3 linked regions of the Lepisosteus oculatus genome follow. The protein of the gene in region 2 binds, or shares a complex with, the protein of the main gene of each other region. Links are inferred from orthologs where the notes say so. Each region holds a gene or a part of one and is shown on either strand. Other genes may lie near its edges. The genes, in order: gnao1a, galr1a and gal.

Region 1 (6,983 bases), on a different chromosome or scaffold from region 2:
AGTACAGTATATACACACATAAGGAAATTTCAGAAAACCAGTGAAGTGTGAGAATTCCTCGTCTCAATGTTGACCCATTTCTGCACAGAGCTATCCCAGAGAGCTCTTGGATTGGTCAGTCTAGCTCGGTTTTACTGCAGAGACTTCTTAGGTGGCAACCCTGTGAGATGTCCACAGACAAAAACTGCATTAATGCAGTTTATTTGCAAACGTGGCAATTTATATTTAGGTGACTTACTAAGGAAACTGTTTTTTCATGAATGGCGGGGACTTGTTTCCCGGAGAATGAGGAGGATTTAGGATTTAGTGATGCCTTTCTGTGAACCACATTAATATCAGGTATTGTTTTCTTTAGTGAAAGCCGTGCAAATCAGTTTAATTCACCAAATTAAATTTTAGCTTTTTTTGGATTACAAAGCCTGGACTCTTGAACGCAGTGAGTCTTAGACTCTTTTTTTTTTTACTTAAGGTTTTTCTTATGGTAATTTACAGCTGATCACTCAACACGTTCATTCTTTTAAAGTTAGTCTTAACTAAAGTGTAGATCACCTCAAATGATCTGGGCCGAAGTGTTACAGTGTTGTAGCCAATGATATAATTAGACTAGCTGTGTAGCTGAGAGCTCTGGTGGGGTTTTATATCCTTTGCCTTTAGATGGGCTATGGAAACCCCAGACAGCTGAAAGGTGTTGCAGCTGAGGGATCCTGTGCTGTTGGTGACCAGAGCTACACTAATCTGTCTGTCCTGCTCATCACTGACATCCCTTGAATATACTCCAAGCACCAGGCAGCCTTGGAGACTAGCTTTTACCACTAAAAACAAGACGTGGCTCAAGTGCAAAGAACAGGTTTAATCAGTTTTATTAGAAATAGTAGGTATAGTGGTATTTTTAAGGTATTGTTAGATATAACAACAGTGCATTATTTGCTTCTTGTTAACTGCAGACTCTTTAAACATCAAGTCCATCCTGTTTTCAATTTATTCTACCATTCCTTGAAAGTAAAAATAAATGGCCTTTCTCTGATTTTTTCATGCGTTTTCATTTATTTTCACATGCCACTGTGGTATAGGCTTGGCAGCTGTCATTAAGAGAGCCCTACCCATATGGTTCATTACGGGTCTCTGCTTGGCCTACCACAGTGCCATTACCCAGCCTGCTCTGGGATGCCAGGGGAACTTCTCGGAGTGTGGTGCAATGACAAGAGTGAGGCCTGGGCACAGGGCATCACTTCCTTCTGCTTCCTTAACGTCTTGATCACACGTAGTCTGATATCCTGAATCTTTTCACTTGGGCTTGTAGGTAAGCCCAAGCTTATACAAAAATGCCAGATGCAGATATATGTGATATCCAGAAATTAAATGATTACCTTACCCAGGCACCTTGTGACTGCAAGGTGCTACATGAGCAAACTTACTTCTCCAACACCGATGATGGTGACAATAACAATGATAATAATAAGAAAGAGAAGTAGACAAAGCTTGTTTAAACAAATGCTAGCTGCTTGCTGTGAAGGTTAGAGAGCTTCATACTGGTTGGCCACAGGAAATCGAGGGCACTCGGGTCCCAGGCAGGCTGGCCGCCCTGCGAGGGGGTCAGATCGCGTGTGAGAGCCTGGGAGGGGCAGGAGGAAGAAAGATGGCCAGCTGGCAGGATTCGTGCCCTCTGGGAAAGCTAGGGAGGAGTCTGAAACCAGGCTTACTACTGGCATGTGCATTACAATGGTTTTTTTTCATGATTGTGCAATTAATCAATTAACCAATCACACACTCGGGCAGACAGAAGTAACACTGGGGCTAATAACTCCCTGGGTCTCCTCTCTCTTGTACAGACCAACAGTACACAGATCACATGTGGAATCTACTGGGTTCTGAATGATGACACAGCTTCAAACTACACAGGTAACCACTGCACAGACATTCATGGCTTGGGACACAGTTTTCAACAGTTTTTAGGTGCACTTTTAAGTTACTATTAGAGAAAGAGCTGTGACTTTCATGCAATTTACAGTGCTTGCAGCTTCATGTCCTAATACTATAGAGATGCTATTTTAAATGTACAAAGCCTGAACACCCTGATCTATAGACTACAGAATTCTCTCAGTTTAAATCCGGCAGCTCAGACACACAGGAGGCAATCAGGTCGAAGGAGAAAACATTTCAGTGTCGATCTGGTATCATCCTGAAAAAGAAAGACTCCCAGCAATAGGAGGTCATTAAACTGCTCCAGATGAATGAAGAAACGGATACAGTTTTCCCCCGCAGCCTGGACAGACAAGGGCTCCCTGGATTTTGATATGTCTGGTAATGCATACTGAACAAATCTGCTTAGGAAAGATCATGTATTACAGAGCAGATTCTGCAGCACAAAACATCTCCCAACAGCATATTTTTGAGCAGTTAAAAGGAAAATTCCTTGTGCTGTTTATTACAATATCACTTTTATGAATCAGAAGTAGAGTTCTTGTTTCACTTCAAACTTTGACAAGACAGATAATGGCTTTCAGAGTTGTGTGGGGACTGTTTTCATTAACAGGCAATTATAAAATAAATCAAACTCAATTAAGCTCATGCTGTGTTCATTTTGGTCTTACATATTGTAGGTAGTGCTTCTGATGCAGAGCAGTAAGCACGCATAGTATCTAGAAGTCCTGTCAGCAATAGCAGACTCTCCCACAGGTGTTAAGTTAATCAATCTGTCGTCTTCAGGGCATGAGGAGAGGAGCACCAGGTTTCTGGGACACAACGGATCATGTTTTAGAAACATATTGATTAGTTTTTGTCTGTGGATTTGTTGTGGTTGGGGACTAGTCTCGTGTGTCATGACCATGTAATGGGATTCGATTTGGGAGCTTTGGAAACGGAGAAAAACAAAGCAGGTCTTCCTGCATTTCTGTAAATGGTGGCTGTTAAGATGGCGAAGCTAACTAACGCCACTTCCTTCGCGCGCACAACCATCACTTTCTCTGGGAAAATGTTTCTACTGAACCGAATAGCACTTGTAGAAGGAGTCAGTCCAGAGCTCTAACCAGCATGCAAAGGTGCTCTACATCAGTTGTGTTCGTGTATGTAGGCAAGACTGCACGTACCATAGATTTACAACACGAATAGTCACATTTTATTGCCTGTCTTAAAAAAGTGCCACCTCCTCTCATTCAGAAACAAACGCTTTTGTATTTAAGGCCTAGCACTTGATCCCGGAGCCGCAGTAATCCTGTAGCTCCAGTGCGCGTGTTCGTTGTCGCAGCCAGGAGAGGTCAAAGTGCGCTTTCTGTCCTCGAGCAGAGCGATCGGATGAGCTTTGAGCTTTCAAAACTCACGTGATGCCACACAGTACAGTCATTTTCTTATGACTGGACGAAAGGTGCGCGTATCCCTTGATAACAAGTTATATTTCACTAGTAACAGACTTCTGCAGAATTTTACGGACCATTTCTGTAAAATAAACTTGATTTAGTGAGGGAGCAAACTCCCACAAGGCTGAGTTTCTAGAAAGGTATTACCGATGGACCTACGTGTAGATCAGGACTCGGGGGCGCAACACCCTTTCTCAACTTTTTTGTAAATTTCAGTTTACTCTTTGCACGACTGCACAGCACGACAATAACGCAGCCGAGAGTAAGGGATCTCTCTGCAATAGATTAGCTGGAGTTATAATTGACAATTCTTCTAAGCCTCAAAGCGGTTTTGCGATTCTCCCATGACTAAACAACTCGAAATAAAACAAAATAAAGAAATGATTTCAATAGTCGTCATGGTACGCTCTACAGAAGGGGGCTCTCTTTTAAATATCCCGTGTCAATAATCGAAGTCCTCCAGAGAGCTTCGCTAGACCACACCTCGGTGCGAATACGCCCGGCCTGCACAGACACCTTCCCGGACACAATAGAGCACAAAGCTCCAGTCTGCACCCCGCACACTCGGGACGTTTTCAGAGAACGACAGTGACAACGGCTACTCGCACAGGCGGGTCACTCGGGGGCGATCCCGCTCCTCAAAGCTCGTCCTTAAACAGGAGAAGCAGCGACAAAAGGGAGGGGAGAGGTCCTTCCCTCTGGATGGAGACGGTTAACGGTACTATCAGGATGCTCGCCGGAGCATGCTCGCTCGGTTTCTGACGTCAGTGAAATTGTCAGGGAGCACTGAGTCTGGCGCACTCTCCCTCCTGCCTCTCCATTGTGAACAGCTGAACGATGCGATCGCTCGCAGCCATCGCCGCCGCCCATTAGAGACCCCCAGCCCGAGCACCGAGCAGACGGACCCCCGAGAGAGAGAGAGTGAGCCCAGCCTTGTTCAGACCCGTGCCAACTGTAGTCGATCCGGTTTTTAATGCGTTAGTCGCCGAGAGACGGAGGGAGAGCGAGCGAGCGAGCGAGAGAGAGAGCGAGCGAGTGAGCGAGCGAGAAAGAGAGGGTACAGGGAAGAAACAGAAAAAAGGAGGATTGCTTGCTTTGATACCTTGCGTCTTTTTGGAAAGAAAAAGAGAGCCGAGATTTCCTAACCATGGGATGTACTCTGAGCGCCGAGGAAAGAGCCGCTTTGGAGAGGAGCAAAGCCATCGAGAAAAACCTGAAAGAAGACGGAATCACTGCCGCAAAAGATGTGAAATTACTCCTGCTAGGTAAGGCTGTGCTACGCTGACAAGCCCGGCTGTGGCCACTGTGGCTGTCGCCCATTCAGACCCTGCAGGCGAGAGAGAGCAGTCCCGGCGTTAGCGCGGCTGCTCGTCTGGCTCTAATCTCGTTTATCTCCTTACAACACAACACTGACGGCCCTTTTTATTCTGTGTTTTTATCCCAACAGGGGCAGGGGAATCAGGCAAAAGCACCATCGTGAAGCAGATGAAGTAAGTGGGCTGGTGTTCATGTCTTTTCGCCTTTAACACGGGCTGTGATTTTTTTTCCTCTCTTCGCCCCACCAATCGCCCCCCACCCCCCGACTCCCCTCCCCTCCCTGTCCATTCTCACCCTAGTCCGGTTGGCTAATACTTAGGTCCGCCATATTTTTCAAGGAATTATGATCGTTTTAGCACCGATCGAGCGCACCTAGCAACGCAGGCTTCGGAGACAAATTGGCAATGTGTGAGGCTTGGCCGTGAACGAATGCGTGTGCTGTTCACGGTAATGGTGCTGAAAAAGCAGAGAAAACCCTCGGTTTCGCGTGTGATCGCCGTGCGTGTGGAGCGGGAGGCGAGCGGTTGTAGCCCGCCGGAGAGCCATTAGGAGCGCACCTCTTCTCTCTTAAGCTTAATGCCTCGGTTTGAGCGCTCATCCCCCACCAGTTTCTGATCTCCTGACACGGGCTTGGAGAGTTCGCTCCCTCACATTCATTTAAAAAATCTGCCTATAATAAGGATTTAACTGGGGCAGAGATCTGCCATTTAAAGCCCCGTTTAGTGGAGATTTCAGGATTTCCCCCCCACGCCAGCTATTAAAACGGCCACGGGGGTGGTGGCAGCGCTTCCATTGTAAAAAGCAAATTGGAGTGTATTGTGTGTGTGGATCGCACACAAGCACACAGATACTGCGCGCAGACGAGAGTGTGAACTCGCGTGTGTGGAAGAACAGCACCCGAACCTGTCATCAGATACGGCCATTTTTTAATCTCACCCAGCCCAAGACAACCGAGTGCTCCTGCCTGCCTTCTAATTTCTCTTCTTCGTGTCTCATGTTGCGACCAGCAGGACAGCTCGGCTAGATTAGCCCATTTTTAGTGTAGTTCGCGCTAATAATAATAATAATAATAATAATAATAATAATAATAATAATAATAATACGTGGATGTATAATAAAGCACATACATCTGTTGTGTCTGAAGGGAACCGTATGTATGGCGCCTGATTAGAAACAAAGTGGGATTTTGGAAATAACGGTACTGTGTACTGAGCCTGCGGGTACTCGGCTGAAAACCGCCCCAGTGCCTTTGCCCGAGACGGGTTGAGTTCCCCTCTTCCCCTTTTGTGACATTCACATTTGTTCCTTGTAAATCGGTGGCTCAGTCTGCAGGTATGTACCTGTCGGTAGTAAAGCCAATTGTAAAAATAAGCCCGTATTGCAATGGCAGCAGGGCCCCTTCTGCGTTTGTGAGGGGAAGATCAGAGGATTTCAGGCGGTTGAGGTGGTGGACAGCGCCCAGCAGCGCCTGTTCGCTCAATCGTTGGAATTCGGAAACACTCGGGTGCTGTCGGGTATGGGTTCACCTACCGAGAAGGAGCGCTTGGAAAGGAGGGGGGATTCGGAGCGGATTTCTGCTGCATTCGGAGGCGTTCGGGCGTGTTCAGAGAGCCCGAGGTTGAGAGGGAAAGAGGAAAAGTCCGTAGAGTATTCTCTGCTTCGCCGGAGAACGGCAGTGGAGTGTGGATCGGGATTGTTAAAGCGAAATAAAAAACAAGATCCCATAGCAGGCAGTGTTGGGTTGTAGCGAAAGTGCTCAAGCAGTCTCCAGGCTTTATTAAGACAGGGAAAGGTAGGCTTTCAGGCGAGGTCTTGATATTACCAGTGCAATAACGTACCAACACTGTTAACTGTATGTAACAAAAACAAACCTGTTCGCCCGTCATTTATGAAATGACAACTTGTGACAATTAAATTTAATTCACAACCAGCCTCGGCAGATCTGCTTTTAAAACTCCTGCCTTGTGTTTGTAGATGAATGGGAGCGACAGTTAAAGACAACATTTGCATAGAAAGCGGCATTAAACCGTCGTTGTCCAAATTCTAGAGAATTGATCTCCCCCCGACATCTGTTTGGCTAAAATCAATGGATTGTGATTGTTTTTGTGTGGGAGCAAAAAAAAAACCCAACTGAAAGGGATAAGGGGTGTTGAAGCAGTTTCTGTATTGCTGGGGATAAGGGTGTGTTAACATCAAAGAATCTGGTCAGAGTCAGGAACTGAGCGAGTCCTGACAGTCAGTTGGGCTATGGTCAGTGGACCCATCCACTGAGGGGGAACTGTACTTCCACCACCTTTGGACAGACCAGTGCAG
Region 2 (7,477 bases):
TGATGCCGAATGACTGTTGCACTTCAGTGCTGGATTGGATCAGTTAGCTATTTATGATCCTTTAGGCTAGAAATCTCTGTGACACTATACTGTAAATAAGCGCCGTCCTTCGGATGAGACTTAAAACCGAGGTCCTGACTCTCTGTGGTCATTAAAAATCCCAGGGTGTTTCTCGTAAAGAGTAAGGGTCTAACCCCAGCTTCCTGGCCAAATTTCCCTTGCCTCCTAATAATCCCCTTCTATGAATTGTCTACATTACTTTGTTCTCCTGCCCCCTCTCCCACTCCGACAGCAGGCGGAACGAGGCGCAGGTTGGAGTATTTCTCGGTCGCAGTTAATGGCAAAGTCACCTCAAAGATTTGGTTCAAACCACTAAATGGAGACTGGTGTGCCGACAAGCGGACCCTGCTGATGCGGGATTAACACTAGGAAAGAGAGAGAGGCTGGAAATCTCTGTATAAATACACATAATTACTTAAAGCATTTTAGAAGTAAATTTCTCATTATGCTGATTAGCTGCCCCTCTGTAAGTAAAATATTGAATAATGTTGTCAAAATGGCAAACTGTTTCAGCAAAGTTGCCATCATTTCATGTTTCTATAGCTTCTGAAGTACTGCAGCTGCCACAGGTACACATTTATCATGCTGCCTTACAAAACCTATATTTCAACTACTGCACTTGACCCTGGTTTATATTAATCTTGTGCCAATACATCTGCTTCCCTGGACAGGATTGTCCTTTGGTGCTCAGTGTTTTTGGACAGGGATCGTCTTCAGCTGTGAGTGCATTTCTGATTGCTGCCCTTCTGCTTACCTGTGACACTTCTAGCACCACTGACTGTTTGACATATTGACCAAATTTCTGTCTGGTGTCGCTGCCACAAACGTATTGTTGCACAGCAATTGGAAATGTTTAGTCAAAAGGTCCACTCCATTCCTCTCACCCTCACTCACCAGTCTGTTGCCTGACATTATCATAAGAATGACTTCAAGTCACTTTTTTATAGTAAATGAGTTGCCATGGTTGTTTTTTTATAGATTAGACATTATGAAATGTCAGAAGTGACGGCAAGTTTTGTGTTTAGCAACTAAGTGCGTAGTTGACTGTTAGTGTGGTGAGGAATCAGTGCTTGTCTATAATTCAGTGTTAATGACTGTACATTCTAGTACTTGACTTACATGTGTATCATGCACTTACATACGTTAGCATGGAGTTTTAAAAAGAGTAAGGTCAGTGAATCAAGTTGTTGCTTTCTGCTATCATACTGTATGTATCCTAGGAAATACACAAAAAGCCACATTCATATTAATATTTTATTTTATTGTTTATTTAAAAAAAAGCATTTAGCAAACCTAATGTGGAAGGATGTTTGCATTAAAATAGACTTTAGTACCATATACTGATAAACATAGTATTTAATGTTTGTGATGTACTGTAAATCACATATTAAGCCACAATGTACTGCACCTCTTTTATCAAAAGCCTGTTTTTTGTTCTCATTTTTAACATAAATTGATCATAAAAATACTACGTTTCAGCCACAGAACCATATCCTACAGCATCAAACATTCTTATATTTGCCACTATAATAAAATCTAAAATCTTGTAGTTGTAAAACCATATTCTCAAGCCTTCATTTGCTTTCTGTTTAAGAGATTCTAGTCCTCTGATTATGCCCACTGATCTTTAACAGCCCTCAACTAATTGTGAGTCACAGCCACGAGTGGTGGTTAGTAATAAAGTCTAGGATCAGCAAGAATTACAATTATGTGTTTCACAGGTTTTACATATTGTTATTTTGAGATAACAGATATATCAGAATTGCTGGTAAATAAATACCATAGGTTTTCTGCAAATTATGTAATATAATAGATATACAGTACATACAGTATAGCAATCTGTACTTCAGTACATAATTCTGAGTGGCCATGAGTACAAAAACATTTCATAACATTTGGTAAATAACACATAAGTTACTTTAACATCTGGTAACATTTCATACTGTAAGTAACACAAAAGTTACTTTAACAAAAGTCATTGGGAGGCATAGTTGTGCAGAGGTTAGCACTGCTGTGCTGCAGTGCTGCAGCCTTGGACCTGGAGTGCTATCTGCATGGAGTGTGTATGTTCTTCCCGTGTTCACGTGGGTTTCCTCAGAGTCCGAATACATACTGATAGTTCAATTGGCTTCTGCGAAAATAGGCCCTGGTCTGAGTATGTGTCTGTGTTTGTGTCTGTGGTGTCCCATCCAGGGTGTACTGTATCCTGCCTTGTGCCCATTGATTGCCTGGGGTCTTGTATATCTTAAATTTTGGATTAGACCCAAAAACATTAAACTCCCAAATTATCTTATGCACTTCATCTCCAGGAAGTGTGTGTTTCTTTGCTTGCTGCATATTTTCTCTGTCGTCATTTTAATTAATTGTCACATTAAAGTGATTTTCTCCTCCTGCTAGGCTCTGGCATACGTGACACAATACTGCTGTTTCTGCTAGCTGCTTTCTTATTCCAGCTGACTGCCTGTCACACTCTGACACATTACTCATCATGCTCCTACTCCACTCTGCCCGCATCCTGCTTCAGCCTTGACGGGCTGGCATATAAGAGAAGGGCTTTAAACAGTGCCAGAACAAAAGACAGCCAAAACAAGAATCAAATATAATGGAATGACGATGAACTGGACATATAATGGCAAGGAAATGGCTGCTCTGGGATACAAAGTATAGTGTAGCATGCTAACATTTCTGTATTCAATCCGCCACACATGTGAATTATTTGAAAACTGTGACTAACAATAACAAAAAATGCCACGGGAATGAACACGTGGTGCTGGTATTATGGTTTCATGAACATATTTCACAGTGTAAATCAAGTAGTGACTGCTTTAACTCTTGGAGCAGATTAAATCACAATGTTCTCGTTAACCTAAATTACCAAAATGTTTTTAAAAAATTACAAATTGATGTTTTTATTCATATTACTGTGTTCAATTCTGAATGATGCTCAAATATGCAAATGTCTTTGCCTTAAGCACTCCATGACCTGCAACATCGCTAAAAGAAGCAGCTGTGGTCCATCGTCAGAGATACTGTTAAAACTCCGAATACAGTATGTGCAACTCTTGCGCGCAGTTGACCTCAAGCAGGACAACAATCCAGCAGAGTACAGTGTACTGTCGATGTCTCAGTAATGTGTTAACAGTTTAATACTTTAGGAAAAGGGTTGTAAGTGTTTAATTTAGCAAATAATCGGTCTAATTCCTGAGTACCAGTTTTAATTGCTCCATGCTTTACGTAGTCGGCCAGTATATACAACTTTGAATAAGCGTTGGTTTACGGTAATAGATCGTGCAGGATTCTGTCGGATCCAGGTGCGGAACACAGAACTCATACTGCGTACTCATGTCCGATGCCACTTCTAAATCCAAAATTTGGTTTCTTGTTAATGTTATTACAACGTCCACTTCACATTTACTGTCATAGATATTTATATAGGGATATACCGTCTTCGTAGTTGCTCACTTTTGTCTGGCTTCTCTGTTTTTAAATATACTATATTCACACATGTGAATAAAGAGTTTCTGGTTGACCGTATGTACAGTACAGTTTACTGATATTAGGCAATGACAAAGACATACAGTAAAACATTGTTAATCATCTGTATAGCCTCATAATTATTACCATTAAAGCATGCATCGATTTTAATAGTAAAATGTCCAAGTTATGCACAAAACAGACGAAGATATGATTTTAAAGAAAAAACATAACTTCTTTGTAGTTCCAAGAATGAATGTATTTGAAGTAAAAAGGGACCTTTAATAAAAATAAAGAAGAACTCGTTTAATAATGGAAGATATCTGAGGTATTATAAAATAAAAAAGGTTAACGTGTTTAAAGGATTAGTTTTAAATTCAAAGATTCTTTTAACAAAAAAGTACGGCAATGTAATGACTTACGCAATAGGCTTTGCTAGGGTATAACATCTCTGAGCTTTGTATTCACAAAACAACTTTATTACATTAAGACCCATGCATTTACAGCCTATTTTCGCAGTATTACGACGAATACTATTTTTTTCTAAGGAGACTCCAAGAATATTTAATTGATTAAGCAATTAAAAGCATACAGCATAATAATTATATAATAGTCTCGGTGAAATACTAACAGCTTTCCAGCGCAATGGAGACTGATATGATTTAAACATATTTAAAGAACTTTTATACTGTATGATGGTTGTAAAGCTTGTAAACTTGTTTCGCAAATGTCCTTGGAATCAATTGGTTTGATTGTTTTAAGGTAACTAAGTCTCTTTGAATGACAACCTCAAGCCGGTTTTTGCCTTAAAATAATAAAAATGGCATAGGTGCATCTCCATCTGAAGGATAAAGTGCATCATGCACATACAGTATTGGTAGACCTAGCGCCGTGGGGACTGGTTGGTGACGTCTCGACGCAGCCCACTCCTCACAGCATTTTCAGTGAGCACAGGCAGGAGAGAGGCTCTCATTAGAACCGGCAACGGGAATACAAGCATCAGGTGAAAGGGAAACATCTGGTTGAGCAAGATTCAATACAGCGGAGCCGAACAAAACCACGAGAAGAATCAAAAAGCTAATGAGAACAAAGACAAAACACCGATATGCTGAATGTACAAATTTTGCGCCTAAGGGGATGCAAATATTTGCGCATTGAAACTTTAAACATTTGGTTTATTGTAAATTCCGGAGGAGTACGCACTAAATGCGTTAACGCTTCCAATAGTACAGTCTAAAACTAAAGACCACGATGCAGCTAATGAAAATGTACCTTTACTGTTTCAAATTAAGCTGGAAAAACTGCATAATTTAATTACCTTAATAGCGGACTTTACTTGTAGATTTGTCGACTCATTCCATTCCGTTCTTCGGTTACAAAACACACTTATAAAACTTCTCAAACATGAATGTATTTTAAAATTCAGATATTTTAGGTTCCGTCCATTTGTTCACGTTTCAAAAGCGAAAGCTTTTTTTTTCCTGAAGTGATGGACGCGGCTGTTTTTCATAACCAAAGTGAAAGAGCGAGCTTTTTCAACAGAACTGACGCTCGGGAGGCTCCAACGAAACTTTTGTTCGGTATCGGCATTGACAACTTCATTACGCTTCTGATCTTCGGACTCATTTTTACACTGGGAGTGCTGGGCAACTCTATGGTGATAACGGTGCTGGCTCGCAGCAAGCCGGGCAAACCTCGCAGCACCACTAACATCTTCATCCTAAACCTCAGTATAGCCGACCTCTCCTATCTCCTGTTTTGTATCCCTTTCCAGTCCACAGTCTACATGTTACCAACATGGGTCTTGGGAGCTTTCATCTGCAAGTTCATTCACTACTTCTTTACCGTTTCCATGCTCGTCAGCATCTTTACCCTCTCTGCCATGTCTGTGGACCGCTACATTGCCATCGTGCACTCCAGAAAGTCCTCCTCCATTCGAGTGGCAAGGCACGCTCTGATAGGGGTGATTGCGATTTGGATCCTGTCTCTCGCCATGGCCGCGCCGGTAGCCCACCACCAGAACATCGTTGAAAGAGGGGGGAACAGTACGTTTTGTTGGGAAGTGTGGCCGGACCACAAGCAAAAGAAGATTTACGTGGTGTGCACCTTTGTTTTTGGGTATCTACTGCCTCTTCTCTTAATTTCCTTCTGTTACGCAAAGGTGGGTCCAAAGGATTTCTTTGATCTGTACTTCACGTAGGGCGCTCCTCATTATTTAACGCCTGTCCATCTTTAGCTTCTTTAGTTGATGATTACAGATACAGTTCATTTTTCCATTTCTGAAGTTATCATTTGAGATGATCATTTGTCACCTTACAGATATCTCGTCATTTGAGATGACATATCTGTAAGTTATGCAACGAATTTAAATCCATTTTAGGCAATTCATTCACCTTAGAACCTACCATATACTGTATGTAATATAATATACAGTAGTTGACAAAAACATTAATAAAAACTAAACTCCCGATAAGAGGAGGTGATCTCACCTCCCTTCGTTTTGTGAAATAAGCTAGGTATTCTATTCGAGTATGCTTTAATATTAAACTTTTTTTCATTATTTTGTTATCCAGTCAAAATTTTGAACGTATTATATTCTTTAGTAAGTACGAATTTGTGTGAAATCTAATACGCAATACTGTACTGAATACAGTAGCCTGCAACTTTGCCGTCATAAAATATCTGTAAATATCGCGGACTTACAGTAAAAACCTCTAATGAATGCAGATGTAAGATAAACCAACCCAAAACAGAAAAGAGTAGGAAAACGTTAATTAATAGAAGTTTTAATTCTTCACCGTTACCATTATTCTGTCTTCTTTCTTATGTCATGTTGTCTTTTTAATAATATATTAAAATGTTTTTGCAGGTTTTGAATCACCTGCACAAAAAACTAAGAAACATGTCCAAAAAGTCGGAGGCGTCCAAGAAGAAGGTAAGCGTTCTGCTTTTGCGCATAATGTGTACAAAATATGAGCAAGATTTGAATGACCCAGTAATGGATGGCAATTTTAAAAGGCAGTTCATTTGTCAGCTTTATTTCCTAACAGTAAGTAATGGAAACCATTGCACTCTTACTACATGCAGTTATAGTTTAAATGGTCCATGCATCTGTAATATAAGATGAAATAGACTAAAGTTGATAAAGTGAGTCTTAAATAGACACACTGACAAAGAAAGTGACTCGATTTATTTTGTGGATCTCCTCCATGCCTTTTACCCATTTATATGCTTTTGAATCACACCTTGGATTTTAGTCATTGCATCACTCTTTGGTGATTTTACAAAATTGACTCTCGTTTATTGTTTTTCTTACAGCTTCATTTTTCTTTGGAGATTTAAGTTAGTTTTACTCTGTGCCAACCTGAAGCAGTTGTCTTTAGTGTTGACATTATGGTTTATTGGTTTCAGATTACTCATCCTTTTCTTTATTTAATTAAGTTCTTATCAGAGAAGGTTCATTGCACTAATTAACCCTAGTTTTGATTTCGCTGTAGAGAAAAAATAGTGCACAAATAAACATGTCTAAATACATACAATGATACAGGTAGGCTTGGGCTTAAAGCAGACAAGCTTCAATTAGTTGCCTAGGTAACAGATTTGATTGTTGTGGATAAAAAGCATTAGGGGCTTGAATCCACCTTTGCCATTAAAAAAACATAAACAAAAACATTTTGTCTGTATTATACAGTATGAAATCTAATTAATAATAGTGATTATAAGGAATGCTTCAAATAAAGTTTTATCTAATAAAATGATTGTATCCCAAAGTATAGAAGATTTTTAATGTTCCTCCCCCATAATGAAATGCTGCTGAAGTGGAAGAGGCCTTCTGATGTTTATAAAAACAAAAAATGCCAGTTACTTTGTTAAAATAAAATTAAAATAAAATAATTTTTATTTAAAATAAAATGTAACTTTATAAGAAAGTACTTGTTAAATT
Region 3 (7,506 bases), on a different chromosome or scaffold from region 2:
CACTTGGTTGTTTTGTGATGGAGACGGGACTGCTCTACTCTTACCACGTTTTGTGGATGACGTTTGTGCGTAAAATGCATGTTTTGGGGGGGGTATTATTGCACAAGCAAGTGCATCATCCGCGTACAGCCAGTGCGACGCATATGTCCAGCATTTGTCACTTCTGTTCCTGCAAGACAACCTTTCAACTTTGACCTTGCAGCCAGATTGTCAAGGTTTTTAACATCTTTCCAAATGCCATGCGTTCTTACAGGGAGATGGCACCAAGCGGTGAGACTAGAGTAGCACAGCAGTCTGGGGAAGTCTCGGAGAGTCGAAGTAGTTGCGTCGATCGCACAAGGCAAAACCGGTTTGGGGTTGCAAAAAAATTAAGGGTAAGCTGCAACCTTGCCAGATTTTATAACTGATGAGACGGCGCACCAAACCTTTTGCACCCAGGTACTAGCGAAACACATGTTAAAATTACTAGAAGCTTCGTTTACTCATAAAAGTGTCTGTGTGTTTTCAGGAGCTCAGCAAAGTGCTGTCCACTGTCAGCGTGGATATAGGGGGAGTTAACGAAATGATCGATGATGACGTTGACCATTTGTCCAATTACTTGGCGCACTTAAGAGGACGGCGAGTCAGGATCGCTGGGGACCACCGAATTCGGGCTTTGGCCGCGCCTCTGTCGGGAGACGAACCCTGCGCGCACAAGAATGAAGCACATTTAGGGCGCGACTTTGGGGAAGATGCCCTATGGGTTGCACATGGTGGTGAACACACAGTTATTGTATTCAAGGACAAGACTTGTACAACCAGTAAATATGGTAGTCCCCTAGACTCAAGTGTAACTGACGATTATAGAGGGTGCACAAACCAGGGAACAAAAGTAAAGGATTGCCACAGGTAATTACTTTATCATCATTGTAGTCAGCACTGTTGAGTCAGTGCTGTTTTTTTGGGTTGCTGTAACAACATATTTCGATAGTATCCAGATAATTATCTTTATGTTTTTAATGATAATACGGTATTAGTAGTCTACCAGAATATCTGAAAAAAATTCAGGTGGGTAGCTGCGTCAGCACGCGAAGGCTGCAAAGGAACAAGTAATAGGTTTATTCCATGCTGAAAAAAAGAAGAAAGAAAACAACATTTCGGCCGTGGAGCCTTCTTCAGAGGCTCTGGATTATCTGAAAAAATGTCACTGTTGTTTTCCTTATTCTGTACACCTTCAGGACTGTTTTTTTATTTGGTAACTTTAATTCTGAAAGAAGAAGTCAGTTTGATCTAAGTAATTTCACTTCCCTTACACTTACCTTAAAGATATGAAATGTCATTTAGTAGCCATGCCCTGTGTGTGTTGTACCTGGAACTATGGGATAAAGTGTATAAAATATCATGTTAATGGACCTTTCATTGATTTGGCTGATGCTAATGTGCTGCAGTTCTTTCTAGGAGTGCACCGCCCAGTGACTTGCTTGACAGGTCTCACGAATGTGTTCGCATTAGCCTCAACATCCACATGAAAGCAGGCAGCCAAGGCGCAGCACTGAAAGGGCCCTGTGATGGAGTCGACAGTCTGCCACGCAGCTGGGCAGAGGATGTTCAGAATGCTGCAGTGGTGAGCAGGGACGGCTCTGCCCAGGCGCGTGCAGCAGGGATGCAGGGGGCAGAGAAAGTGAGCCCAAACCCAGTGGATTGTGAGAAAGATCAGGAAGAGGACACTGCGCCAGAGAGCACAGCTTTATCACAAAGATCACACAGTGCGCAGAGCTCTCAGAAGAACATACAACGATTTCCTCACATAATATGCTTCACCACTCTATCTTGTATTTTATTGGTGCTTTCTTTCTACTGTATTTGTTACCGGAGTTACATTTGCTTCGCGACACAGTATTTCACCCCTAAGGGAATGAAACCAACATAAGTGTATGTAGAATAAAAATCAGAGCGTTGAAGTGGGCTTTTGTGATACTTGTGAGTCCTTTATCTGAAAAATGGGTTGGTGAGAGCTTTAATAGGCATTCAACTCTGCTTTTAGCCTACTCTAAAACAATGTTCATTGAACACTTTCCCAGGTATGAAGGCCAGCATGAAATGAAATATCTCAGATCTTATAATATGTGTTTTAGCTTAATAATGTGAGGGAAATGAACACCACCACAAACTTTTTTGCTACAAATGTCAATCTTGAACATACTGTACTAATCACCTGGAGTGTAAAACATCTTTGTGCTGCCTTGTAGAGGAATTGAGTGTCTAAACCAGTGCCTGGGGTATCCTGTCTCGCTCTCTGTCACCCATTTAATTCATTCATTTAACTGCTTTATCCAATTCAGGGTCGCGGGGGAGATGAAACCTATCCCAGCAATCAATTGACACAAGGCAGGATACACCCTGGATGGCACGCCAGTCCAGATATAGACACGTTAACACCAGGGTCAATTTTCCAAGAAGCTAATTTACCAGTATGTTTTTAGACAGTGGGAGGAAACCCACACAAACATGGGGAGAGCATACAAACTCCACACACATAGAACACAAGGGTTTGAACCCAGAGCTGCAGGGCAGCAATACGAACCCCTTCAGCATCGTGCTACGCCTCTCGGATTTGTCAGACAAAGAAAAAAATCTTGAGGCTAAAGATTGGGAGGCAGTAGATGGTACATTAGCTGGAACCCAGCTTTGTTCCAAAAGCAAGTAACTGGTATCAGTTCACAGGGGTTGGCGAGGAAAGTATTGTATCATTAAACCAAAAAGGACAGTCTAGGCACCTAAGTATTACCTTGATATAAACAGTGCAAATTATTACTTCTGAAGACTGCACAGCTGCAGTCGCAACAAGGGTGAAAGAGCCTTTGCATTTTCTCAATAAACATAATGAGGTGACTGACAATAATAATAACGTATTTAATACACTTAGTCTTTTTATGCATGAGTCCACAAAATAATGTTTGTTGTGTGAACAGTGGACATATTTACATTGGACAATGGAAGTGTGTGCAGATGGCTCATAGTGCCATCTATTTCAGTATGGGCAGCACTGGTAGCCCAGGTGCAGCAATTTCATCCAGTCTCCCAAAACCAGGCAGGTTAGGTTAGATTAGATTAGTTACCCTGTAATGTTCCTTTCCTTGGGCTGCTTTTTCACCCCAGTTTAACCGGTACTGGCTGAACTACAGAGAAAGGAACCAGCTGAACACAATGAGTGGATCCTCTCAATCCTCTGTGTCTTTTCTGGTGTTCTGAATAGAACCAGTTAGCCTAGTGTTAGTTATCCCTAATTAATGTGACTCATAATTAAGTCTAATGCTGTCATTTACAGCCCATGATATAATTACCGAGCATTGTATAAGTTACAATCGACAACAACCAATCGTCCTTCAGGGAAATAACCCATAGGTAACTTGTAGACATTTATCTTTTTCTATATACATTTCTCCTTAGGTCCCTGTAGCGTTAAATACAGAACTGGGACACAGCTATAGAAACATTTTAAAGATGTTTTTGTATGAGATATGTCGTTTCATTTTATTAAAAATTCATCAAGTCGTATAGTGTCGTCTGGGCAGTTCATACTCGGACTTTAGGGATAGCCCCACTGGACATCAGCTTTGCCCAAAGCAAACGTTAAAAATACCAAATTTCTGTTCAACAAAATGTCAGTTCCCCAGCTACCAGATAGACTTAATAGTCTTCGAGGTAATCATTTTCTCAATTTATTGCATTTGTAAATGGCAGGTTTGAGTCTCATCATATACTTAATTCGTATTACGTATTATATTCTCTTTTAAAAGTTTAATAATGTATTTAATCGGAGCAGGATCATTTAATAATCAAATGATTAATTAAGTTGTTAGCATTATAGACAGTAAATTGTTCTGCTGTACAGATCAACTTCTTAGATCTTGTGAGCGTCTGTAACTGTGCTCAGCACCATTGAGAAGGGCTTTTCACAAGCATTTTATTGCTGCTTGTTATTCCAGAATACACTATTCTCTAAAAACCGGTTCATGTCTCCATGTCACGATGTTTCATCACGTGGGATTTGATGCACAAACTTTTTAATGAAGCCAGTGACGATCAGAAGACCCCTACGCATCCTGCCATAAGTCCAAATTTAGCCAGAGTAATTAAGGTGAATGTAGACCTTGCTGTTTTCCCGTACTCTTTTGTGTTGCCGTTGAACACGGGGAAAGTTACGTGTTATGTGTCATGCATCCCGCGAGTTACTTTTCCTTCTCTATTGTAATACGTGACGTAATCAGGTACCGTAGCTCGCGTAAGCGTTACCCCCAAGGTAAGCTCTATACAGCCAAATGCTAACCCAATGCAATTATCCGGCTGTTATCCATCTTCGGCTCTTAAATCACTTCCATGAGAACATAATTGCATTGCAGCAATTTTTTCTTATCCACATGTACTGATGGGAGGGGAACGGGAGGAAATTAGGGGTGACGTCTAACCCGAGAAGCTGGGGGGACATCAGTTTATTTTTCTTGGCGGGGGTAGGGGAGAGGTAAATAAAAGCCACCGATAGACCTTACCCATTCCATCCGAAATTCCCGGCACCGAGAGCAGAATGGAAGAAAATATATTGTAATACTCGCATTTCTCTCTCTATTAACTGTCTGCTGAAATTCCACAAACCAACTCTTCACCTGATTTCTGGAAAGAGGCACTTACAAGTAGCAAACTTTTCAAGGTAAGATTTTAAATCTTGTACTGGTTCAGGGAATTAACAATAAATTCGCAGCCAAGCGAGCATCGAGCGAGATTTTGGAGAAACATCTGCCTTTGCCAAATAACATCGTAATGTACTTCGCTACAGTAATATTACTGAGAACAAATATTTATTTTGTTTTTGTACTTAATTCACGATGAAGTGGGCAAAGTCCTGAAAGTGACATTTATATTACAACGAATAATCCTAGCTGCCGCACTGCAGGCTGAAGATACTGTGTAAAATAATTAAATACTGTTTAAAACTACACCAGGCCAGAGAGAAAGTTTTTAGCTTAAAAGCGTATTGATGTGTGAGTCTTAAACTCTTCCACCCCTGTTTCTCTACAGATGCAGAAGTGTTTTGGTGTTCTTTGCGTATCACTTGTACTGTGTGCCACCCTGTCAGAGACGTTTGGATTGGTTCTTTCGGTATTTCTTCCAGATTTTCTTTTGTTATAATTATTTATGCAGTATGCTGTCTAAAATGTGCTCCCGATTTATCGTTTTACCGAGGAGCTTATCCTGTGCAAGTAGAAGGTTTTCTTTTCATTAACTTGACTGATACTGGTTTGTCATCCTGCGTGCTTCCTTGCATCCTGGTTGTCTATGTGACTTGCCGAGGGATATAAACTAAGAGAAATATTCATTTTGTCTATATTATCTAAAATTACACTGTCTTGCAAAAATGTAACTTAAATTCATTAAACCCTTAAAACCATACCTCACAACTTCATTGTTCTAGACCTCGATGAAGCAGTCAAACATTATTTTTATTTTGGCACTATATTTCAATACAGTATTTTAGTTATACTGTAGTAGTATGTGAATAGGGAGCTTTTAAAAAATCCTCTTAAAACGCAATAATTGCCCATGATTGCAACTAATCTGTAGGAAATTTAGACACCTGAGAAATATTATCCTGTTATTGTAATTGTTCTGAAGCGTATGCAGCTCATAATAGCAAGTCCATTAGACTTTTATTAGAACAATTATATCTTACAGAGAAGAAATATTTGAATGCTAATTAACTGCAATGTTACCTGCGTCTTGAAACTTCCTGCAGCAATTATGTAGTTGCTTTGCAATGGACAAAATACAACTGTACGAGATAATAAGATGCTTATTGCCTTTAATTTTAATAGAGAGTGTTAGGACTCGTATATTAAATTTGTTACATGCAGCAGTATATGGCCCAATCTTGATTTTCCACTATATTATTACTCCCTAGAGTGACACAACAGAAACTGTTATGAAATAGTCACGTTAATATGTCAGCGATCTTTTGCTTGAAATGTGCTGGATTATATTTAAATATCAGTGGCTCCGTCAATGCACTCAGAAGTAGGCAAATATCTGGATAACTTAATTATGAGTTCCTGAAGATATGTCATTTCAGTAATAATTTGTCACATAATTAAAGTAATTTTTAAAATGAATGCATTACCTCCAGCAGGTAAAATCATCTTTCTGAGGAGCTAACACTGAGGGATCTGCAATGAACAAGATCAATTAATTTTTTGTCTAGCATTTATAGAGACTTGGCAAGTAATTATAGAGCCAAGTTTAGAAAACAAATTGAATTATATATACTGTAAGTGGGGAACTTTTCCCTGTGCAATACTACGATCTGCTTTTGCATCACAAGGATGAGATCAGCAGTCCAGGTCTTCGAGACTGATGCTTAAATCTGACACAGAATAAGAATGATGAATCAGGATGGTCAGGTTTAATGAAAAGCTTTTGTGTTCAGTTCTCTTATGTCATGTGAATAGCCAGGCTAAAGCCTGGTAACTTTTTGTTGAAGAGGTGGACAGAAACTGTAGGTTACCTTCTTCCACAAAGCATTACACTTCAGCGGATAATAACCATTAATACAACCAGACGCCTGTTGATTTACTCAACCACATTTACATTTCTTACACAGACCACTTGCTGCTGCAAATCCTCATATCAAAGAGCATTTGATCACATTCATTTCCTTGGTGTACAGATTTACTTGACACCAAGGTCATTTCCAGCCAGTCCTTCTCTGGCTGCTCCACAGTTGAGTGGAATTAATTCTTATTCAAAAGGAAAACATTTTGACACAAACAATGTTATCGGATTTATGTGCCAATCTGTCCATTTCTCTTTTAGAAGAACGTGTTTAGTATATTGTTAGATAAGCAGATAAGTAATGTTTAATGTTTAATACAGTCAGTAGAATCATGTGCATGTATGGCAGTATTGTGGTATGGTGTATAGCACTGCTGCATCATGATCCTGGATTTCATTTCTGTGCTTAAATAATATCCAGGCATTCTGTGCTAAAGAGGCGCATTTACACGACATCTGTTAAATTGTCTGCAGACTCTGTAATGTTTTATTACTCTTTTATTGCACTTATGTTTCTGTTCATGATGCTACGCAGCAACTGGCTCTTGCTGCATTATCTCCATTTGTGACAAAAATGACTTTTTGTTTCTCCCTCTTGAAGGCGAAGGAAAAGAGAGGCTGGACTCTGAACAGCGCCGGGTATTTACTGGGGCCTCGTGAGTAAAAGCTATTTTTGTGATCACACTTTGGGTTAGAGGTTGTAAAATTACACTTTATAAATGGATAGTAAGTCAGCTGTTGGTATTATAGATGAAAGAAACTACTTTCTGCAAATAACCATGGGATTAGGTTTTGTGCTGTTAGTCAGGCTTGAATCAGAGTTTAGTTACTGTTATGCAAGTAAGCTACAAAAAAGGTTGGTTATTATTACATTTATATCTCTCTTTTGATACATTATTAATATATTCCATGTCTAAAACATTT

The links.
Region 1: the proteins of galr1a (region 2) and gnao1a are in contact, whole or in part, in a cryo-EM structure (PDB 7XJJ), measured with the Homo sapiens proteins. The link is inferred for Lepisosteus oculatus from reciprocal best matches to the Homo sapiens genes GALR1 and GNAO1. Residues at the interface, in NP_001471.2 of Homo sapiens: Thr70, Arg133, Ala136, Ile137, Ser140, Arg141, His226, Leu227, Leu231, Asn233, Ser235, Lys236, Lys237, Ser238, Ala240, Ser241, Lys244, Thr245, Thr248, Leu306, Ser307, Glu308, Asn309; in NP_066268.1 of Homo sapiens: Ser264, Asn316, Glu318, Tyr320, Asp337, Asp341, Ile343, Ile344, Ala345, Asn347, Leu348, Arg349, Gly350, Cys351, Gly352, Leu353, Tyr354.
Region 3: the proteins of galr1a (region 2) and gal are in contact, whole or in part, in a cryo-EM structure (PDB 7WQ3), measured with the Homo sapiens proteins. The link is inferred for Lepisosteus oculatus from reciprocal best matches to the Homo sapiens genes GALR1 and GAL. Residues at the interface, in NP_001471.2 of Homo sapiens: Glu32, Gln92, Thr94, Val95, Tyr96, Leu98, Pro99, Thr100, His112, Gln174, Phe177, Arg180, Gln184, Phe186, Cys187, Trp188, Glu189, Gln190, Ile266, His267, Ala270, Phe275, Leu277, Ser281, Phe282, Arg285; in NP_057057.2 of Homo sapiens: Gly33, Trp34, Leu36, Asn37, Ser38, Gly40, Tyr41, Leu42, Leu43, Gly44, Pro45, Val48.

Annotation. Positions count from the first base shown.
Region 1 is NC_090715.1:1,057,364-1,064,346, reverse strand, and holds the start of gnao1a (guanine nucleotide binding protein (G protein), alpha activating activity polypeptide O, a), read left to right. Parts: upstream 1-3,932; 5' UTR 3,933-4,500; coding exon 4,501-4,618; intron 4,619-4,800; coding exon 4,801-4,843; intron 4,844-6,983. UniProt on the Homo sapiens protein: Guanine nucleotide-binding proteins (G proteins) function as transducers downstream of G protein-coupled receptors (GPCRs) in numerous signaling cascades.
Region 2 is NC_090705.1:18,592,325-18,599,801, reverse strand, and holds the start of galr1a (galanin receptor type 1), read left to right. Parts: upstream 1-4,464; 5' UTR 4,465-5,023; coding exon 5,024-5,695; intron 5,696-6,403; coding exon 6,404-6,469; intron 6,470-7,477. UniProt on the Homo sapiens protein: Receptor for the hormone galanin. The activity of this receptor is mediated by G proteins that inhibit adenylate cyclase activity.
Region 3 is NC_090716.1:11,820,910-11,828,415, forward strand, and holds the start of gal (galanin peptides), read left to right. Parts: upstream 1-4,491; 5' UTR 4,492-4,687; intron 4,688-5,055; coding exon 5,056-5,136; intron 5,137-7,183; coding exon 7,184-7,238; intron 7,239-7,506. Other genes in the region: uncharacterized protein, read left to right, coding at 240-374, 509-888, 1,438-1,909. UniProt on the Homo sapiens protein: Endocrine hormone of the central and peripheral nervous systems that binds and activates the G protein-coupled receptors GALR1, GALR2, and GALR3.